Drosophila melanogaster: one gene and its partner. The protein of the gene in region 1 interacts with the protein of each later gene in a pairwise test. Each region holds a gene or a part of one and is shown on either strand. Other genes may lie near its edges.

The links. Proteins that work in one complex are often made in the same cells at the same time.
Region 2: the proteins of Deaf1 (region 1) and TfIIA-L interact in a two-hybrid assay, tested with the Drosophila melanogaster proteins (2 studies listed by BioGRID).

Annotation. Positions count from the first base shown.
Region 1 is NT_037436.4:19,816,136-19,819,886, reverse strand, and holds the start of Deaf1 (deformed epidermal autoregulatory factor-1), read right to left. Parts: upstream 1,714-3,751; 5' UTR 1,353-1,713; coding exon 1,221-1,352; intron 786-1,220; exon of another isoform or gene 697-785; coding exon of another isoform or gene 676-696; coding exon 1-675. Other genes in the region: fibp, read left to right, coding at 2,135-2,137, 2,192-2,270, 2,338-2,656, 2,720-2,827, 2,884-3,016, 3,067-3,167, 3,226-3,294, 3,356-3,541 and 1 more. UniProt on the Drosophila melanogaster protein: Transcription factor that binds the homeotic Deformed (Dfd) response element. High affinity binding sites contain at least 1 TTCG motif surrounded by additional TCG sequences.
Region 2 is NT_033777.3:27,251,279-27,255,029, reverse strand, and holds the start of TfIIA-L (transcription factor IIA L), read right to left. Parts: upstream 1,601-3,751; 5' UTR 1,429-1,600; coding exon 1,405-1,428; intron 503-1,404; coding exon 302-502; intron 15-301; coding exon 6-14; intron 1-5. Other genes in the region: pll (pelle), read left to right, coding at 2,073-2,392, 2,451-3,116, 3,180-3,699. UniProt on the Drosophila melanogaster protein: TFIIA is a component of the transcription machinery of RNA polymerase II and plays an important role in transcriptional activation. TFIIA in a complex with TBP mediates transcriptional activity.

The sequences.
Region 1 (3,751 bases):
ATCCTTGCTGGAGCCCCGGCCACACACATGCTCAAACTCACTGGGCGTATGCCACTTGTCCTTGTACTTCACACAGCGTCCACGGCCGCCGGAGCCCAGCTTGCTGCGGTATAACTCGGCGCAGGTGGTTTTGCAGCGGATCTGGAAGACCTCATTGTGCTGGGTTGACGGGTTCTCCGACCATCCCGAGGAGCCACCACCCGTTCCGCCGCCGCCACCGCCGACGCCACTCGCTCCGCCCGCGGCGTGCTCCAAGGTGGCCAGGCTGTCGTGGCTATTGTTGCTCCCGGAGCCATCGTGATTCAGTCCAATCGTATTTGTGGCGGTCGTATTGGTGCCCGCATTATTGGCGCCGCCACCGCCGCCGCCTGGTTGCGTCTGCTGTTGCTGGATGACGATCGTCTTGAGGTCGTTGCCCATGCTGACCGTGCTGCCGGACAGGTAGCCATTGTTGTCGACGCACAGCATCGGCTTGAAGTGAGGGGGCAGCTGGTCGGGCGTGATCACATTGAAGGTAGTGCCGGTTATCATCGAACCGATGGGCAGGGATACGGGCACCGAAACCACACCGCCACCGCCGTTTCCTCCGCCCGCTCCGCTTGTACCGCCACTGGCGCCGCCGCTACCACTGTTGTCGTTGGAGGAGGATGTGACCATGCGAACCTTGGTGTCCAACTGCATTACCATAGCGCACATATTCCCACGTTCGTCACATGTATGTGGGTGAGTGTCCAGCGGCCAATTGATGGCGTTTGCGATTTAATTCAATGCGATTTGCACAGGAATCGGGAATGAAAATTCGAATGTAAGTAAACAACACAGCATGGGAAAAATGAAAATCGGTATACACAACATTTGTGCGCCACAAATGCGGTGGGTGGAGGGGGAAAACGAGGAGGAGGAGGCAAATTGGGAGTGGATGGAGGCGAGAAGGCGAGCGGGGAATGCCTGTGGCCCAGTGGGTCGCACGGAGCGTTCCGTAGGGCGCAAGTTGCGCCACCCCCAGGCCACCTAGCCCAACCACCCACCACCCACTTTCCACAACTGCGCAGAGCGAAGCGGAGCGGTTTTCGAGCCAGATTCGGTTTCGGATTCAATAGATAGAACCTGAACCAAACACACAGTCCGGAACCAAAACCACCCCGCCAAAGGAGAAGCGAATGGAAAATCCAAAACCAAATGGGCTCCTTACGCAGCCGTTTGTTGCTCCTTTTTCTTACCTGGTGGTGATGATGATGATGGTGATGGCTGGAGCTTTCTAATATCACCTCTTCTTTCACAACATCCTCGGCCAGCGCGGCCAGATCTTTCCTATTCAGGTGCAGCTCGGTGGAGGAGTCAACCTGTTCCATAGTATTGTTATGCCAGTTCACTTTCACTTATTCTGCGGTCCAACGATAGTAATGCACTTGAATTGTTCATCGGATTACCACTTGCAATTGGATTATTGCGATATATGTATATTATTCGACGTCTACCGAGACGACGGACGGTCTGTTGTTGTTGTTGTTGTTGCTGCCGCCGCGATCCGCGTTTTTTTCAGCGCTCACCACGACTTACATGCGAATTGCGCGCAGGTCGCGTTCAAGTTGCATTGCCCTATTTACAGCTGGTGGTTCATTGCAATTTACATTTTTTAAGCTTAAACTTTACTAATTTACTAAAAAAGTTGATATCCTCCTCTTCTTCCTCATGATAACTAGAGTTGTCATGCGCGTTGCAGCTATCGCCCGCTATCGGCACTATCGATAGTCGTGATTCGTGCTCGCTATCTGTGCCCCATCTCTGGTTTTTAAATATCGGAAAGTTTACAGCTATATATCTTGCATATTAAATTAAGATTTCTGAGAATTACAATTTTAAAGATTTCCTTATGACTTGATCTTAAAACTCAAAATCACACCGAATTTGGTTTTACCATTATTACTCTAAACATTTTCGCTTGTTTATTAATAGGATATATTGATGTTATGAAAACAAGAACGATTTATTACTTTCAAGGAAAAGTTTTAAATTCATGAGAAGAATAAACTATGCTGCTTGTGTTGGAACTACACAGTGTTTCATCTCTAACATACATTTCGATATATCCAATTGGACAGCTAGTTCAGAAAACGGTCACTCTAGCAATATAATGGTAACTATCTGATGATCCAAAATAATAATAAATAGTAAAACTGAATGCTTACAGGCCGATGTGGATGTGTTTATAAGTAATTATACAATCATCGATCCAGAAATTTACCAGCTATGGATCGAAGGCTTCTCCTGTAAGTTTTCTTCTCCCAATTGCAATCTTGTTTCATGTCAAACGGCTCCATCGATTTACAATTATAGCCAGCGAGGCGGTGTCCTATCTGAAACAGAAGGGTTTTGGTCACTCCATGGGCGCTCCCAGCGACCTGATTGCATCGGATGTACTGGATCATTACCGCACCTATTCCCTGATTGAACTATACCTAAACGCACCCACCAAACTGATGGAGCAATCCTGCTTCCAGCTGGAGCCACAAATGCGTGACCTTATCACCGAGAAGTACTATTCCATCGATGATGTGGTGGCTCGCGAAATTCTTGGCAAGAAGCTGTCGTCCCGCTACCGCAAGGACCTCGACGAGGTGGCCGAGAAGACGTGCGTCAAGCTAAAATCAGTTCGGTGGGTAAATTTGGCCGCTACTTAGGCAGAGTAGAGTCTAATATATTTCAACTTCTTCTTCAGCCGACAATTTGACAACGTAAAACGCATTTTTAAGGCAGTCGAGGAAATGCCGGGCACGTTAACCAACAACATCAAGCAACACTTCATCATATCCACCGATCTAGCCAAGTATGAATATAATCAATGTATTGAACTTCAAAAAGCTAAACCTTTCACTCTTACAGAAAGTACGCCTGCATTGTTTTCCTGGCCTGCCTGCGTTTCGAAACCACCAAAAAAAAGTTGCAATACCTGAGCTTCAGTGATTTGTTGACCTGCTCCCATGCCATCATGATCTACTGGACGTATACTTACCAGGTATGACTTAGCTCTGCTAATTCCTTACGAAACTAATTTACTAAATGCAGCACACTGGACCGGAGTACTATGATACCGAAATGGACAAAGAGTTTCTCTTGGACCTGCGGGAGTTGCGCTGTCTACTCGACAAGGAAAAGGAGATTAAGCAGTGAGATTTATTTTTCTACCGCACACGAGCTATTATATAGTTTAGTCCTTGCATTTAGCCTCGTCTGCATGCGCCTCAAACCCGTTCTTCTCGAGCGCGCCTTTCACGAACTGGATGGCAACTTTCGGTAAGGACTTATTTCTCGACATTATCACCTTTTCTTACTATTGATCTGTTTTGATTTGCAGTTCTTACTGGCGCGCCCTGATCACCATCGCCTGCAATTTGCATCGCAATCGGGAGCTGCGCGATCTTTTCGTCGATCTCTGTGAGAAGCTTATTGATCCTTGGCGTCAGAATGGCTGGAACCGTGAGCAAGTGAATAAATTTTTGGCTTCCATAACGCAAAGCGTTTTGGATCTGGAAATATCAAGGTGGGTACTTTTGTCTAGATTAATCAAGTAACTTTTTTGATAATCAACTCTAAATGTTTTGCAGGGACCAAGAAACCAGATGTCTTTGGGATCGCTATATGCAGGTCATAACGATATGCTTGGATAAAATGTATCACATTTAAGATGTGATTAAACTAAGGATCAAATATAAATAGTATTTAATTGTTTGTTTGTGTTTGTTTCGACTTG
Region 2 (3,751 bases), on another chromosome or scaffold:
TTTACCTTGTGGCTCTGCATTCGAAACGTGCGGTTGGATGTAAGGGCGCATGGAAATGAATGGGTTTTTGAATGGATTTTGATGATGTGCAAAGAGCAGCGCATTAGTCGATGTTGTTGGTGAGGCGCGTTGCATTGTAGTGGTTCAAGTGGTGGAGCATAAGAAAGATAAAGCAAGATATCTTAGTTGGAAATTTTTTTTGGGATGAAGATATCACAATTTGTATGGACTTCTACGTTAAGTTAGACAGACACAAGGATTCGCGATGAGAATATCCACCCAAGGGCTCCGTTTCGCTTACCTTTGGATTGTTGGCCACGATGGGTGGCGGATGGGAGCCATCGCCGGAGTCCGGGCTCAGCTCGACGGCCTTGCTAGCAAGCAACTTGTTGCGCCAGACCTGCTTCATCTCCTGCAGCACCTGTTCGTCGACGCCCTCGTCCAGGAACGCGTCCCGCACATTTGTGATGACGTCCTCGATCACGGCATGGTACACCTTCAGCTGCGGGCGAGAGGGGATGCGGTTAATTGTGTATAATTAAATTTGAAATGCACGACAAATCTGGGCTTGTGTTGACTTAAACACTCATTATATTATCGCGGCTCAACTTCACGCTATTAGGGCCTAAACAGTTGGGGGTAAAACAATAGGGATTGCGCAAAAAATCCACGAAGCAAGTAAAGGGCAAGACGCTATAGAAGTTGAAAATGTGGCGCACAGTATGTGGTGAGCCTTTTTGAGCTCCCATTAAAATTCAGACGCAGCTGTAATGTGAATATGCAAAACGCAAATAAAGTATGTAAATTATTTGTTTGCGAAGAATGTCGCAGTGCACATATGTACATAGATACCATGCATATGCTGGTATATATATATATGTACATTGTACATATATATACACCGGTATGCCAGTTGCTTGTTTTATTAATAGTTTGTTTTGCGTTATCAGCGGACGATAAGGAAGGAGGCCCCGACTTGTAGATAATAGCACAAGCTACGCAGCGTGTATTACTGCTAAATATAACCCCCCATGGGAGTTTGAAGTACTACGCGGAAAAGCCGAAAATCGGAAAATCCAGAGGGCAAGAAACATACAAAACTGCAAGGCAACGAACGCACTAACACAGCGACATCCAGACAGACACGCACTCGCATGCACACACATCCACACCCGAGAGGTTTGCAGTTTTGGTATCTCGGATTTCAGCAGTTGTAACTATCGTTTTGTAGTAACTACCATGACCACTGGGAAAGCTTTCACTTTCCCGCGTGGGCGGCGGAAGGAGGTGAAGCTGGAGGAAATGGAGAAACTCCTTGGTAGGATGCCTTCCATATGTCGAATGCAATGGAGCCACCGCCGCTGACACAATTACCGGATCTCGGGGATCCAGCCGCACACTCACCACCGATGTCTGGCATAGCGCCATTTGGACCTTTTTCTCCGCCAGCTTGAGGCTTTTCCGTTCGCTGGTGGGGCTAATTGACGTATTTGCTGAATTATAAATGGGCGAAGCGAAGAATTAGCGATAGCGATGCGTTCGTGACGGTGTCAGCAGTGTGGCCACCTGCGGGGCACTTGAAAACGACGCATGTCCGCCAAACTGCAAGGCTCATTTGGTCATACACTAATTGCCTTTGGTATTTTTTAAGATATTTTAGTATACAAAATACTGTGCAAATTACATAAAATATGTGGAGGTTATTTAAAATCTATTTAATATTTTCATACAGCAAATACCTTTTTAATAATTACTCTGCTTTCTTTTTACTTCTGAATTTTAAACAGTGGCTCCTAAGCATCTACCACTTTTTCGAGTGTATTATTTGCTAGACATTGGCAGCGTTGCCAGACTGCTTCGCTCTGTTAAGCTGCTTTATCACTTGTTGCGCCGCTGTTAACAAGTCATCCACAGGTTTTCATCGAATCGCGTTGGGAATTTACCCAAAAGCGATTTTCGTTTCGCTGCAACAGGTTACCAGCGCCGCCAACCCCTCATCCAACGGGCACTCTTGCATCCGGAGCCGCATGAATCAGTCGCAACCGGTTGAACCGCCCGCCCATAAGTGAAAGATGAGTGGCGTCCAGACCGCCGAAGCCGAGGCGCAGGCCCAAAACCAAGCGAATGGCAACAGGACCAGGTCGCGTTCCCACTTGGACAACACAATGGCCATCCGACTGCTGCCGTTGCCCGTGCGAGCCCAGCTATGTGCCCACTTGGATGCCCTAGACGTATGGCAACAGCTGGCCACGGCCGTAAAACTCTATCCCGACCAGGTGGAGCAGATAAGCAGCCAGAAGCAGCGTGGCCGCTCAGCCTCCAATGAGTTCCTCAACATTTGGGGCGGTCAGTACAATCACACGGTGCAAACATTGTTTGCTTTGTTCAAAAAGTGAGTCAGTTTGAGATAATAACCGCCGAGATCCCAGAAATGACTCCTCTTACTTTAGATTGAAGCTTCATAACGCCATGCGTCTGATCAAAGATTACGTTAGCGAGGATCTGCACAAGTACATACCGAGGAGCGTGCCCACCATCAGCGAGCTGCGCGCTGCTCCCGATTCCAGTGCCAAAGTAAACAACGGCCCGCCGTTTCCCTCCTCCTCGGGCGTCAGCAACTCAAACAACAATCGCACCAGCACAACGGCAACGGAGGAGATACCCAGCCTGGAGTCCCTGGGCAATATACACATTAGCACCGTACAGCGGGCAGCCGAATCCTTGCTGGAGATCGATTATGCGGAGCTAGAAAACGCCACGGACGGCTGGAGTCCGGATAATCGACTGGGACAGGGCGGATTCGGAGACGTGTACCGCGGCAAATGGAAGCAACTGGACGTGGCCATCAAGGTGATGAACTACCGCAGTCCCAACATCGACCAGAAAATGGTGGAGCTGCAGCAGAGCTACAACGAACTCAAGTATTTAAACAGCATCCGGCACGACAATATCCTGGCCCTCTACGGATACAGCATCAAAGGTGGTAAGCCGTGCCTCGTCTACCAGCTGATGAAGGGCGGCTCCCTGGAGGCTCGTTTACGAGCGCATAAGGCACAAAACCCACTACCAGCACTCACCTGGCAGCAGCGGTTTAGCATCAGCCTCGGCACGGCTAGGTGGGATTTATCGTTTCTTTAGTGCTATCAATCTTCTTTAACTTTTCATTTCGTTTCCAAAAGAGGCATCTACTTTCTGCACACGGCGCGAGGCACACCGCTGATTCATGGAGATATTAAGCCGGCCAACATCCTGCTGGACCAATGTCTGCAGCCAAAAATCGGAGACTTCGGTCTGGTGCGCGAGGGTCCCAAGTCCTTGGACGCTGTGGTGGAAGTGAATAAAGTTTTCGGCACTAAGATCTACCTGCCACCGGAGTTCCGCAACTTCAGACAACTCAGCACGGGCGTGGACGTCTACAGCTTCGGCATTGTGCTGTTGGAGGTGTTCACGGGTCGTCAGGTGACGGATCGCGTGCCGGAAAACGAGACGAAGAAGAATTTGCTGGACTACGTTAAGCAGCAGTGGCGGCAAAACCGGATGGAGCTGCTAGAGAAGCACTTAGCAGCACCGATGGGCAAGGAGCTGGACATGTGCATGTGCGCCATCGAGGCGGGCTTGCACTGTACTGCCCTGGATCCGCAGGATCGCCCATCCATGAACGCGGTGCTCAAGCGTTTCGAACCGTTTGTTACCGACTAGATGGGCCTTATTATGTTACCATTTTATTGACGAACTTGAAAAGCTCGAAGGA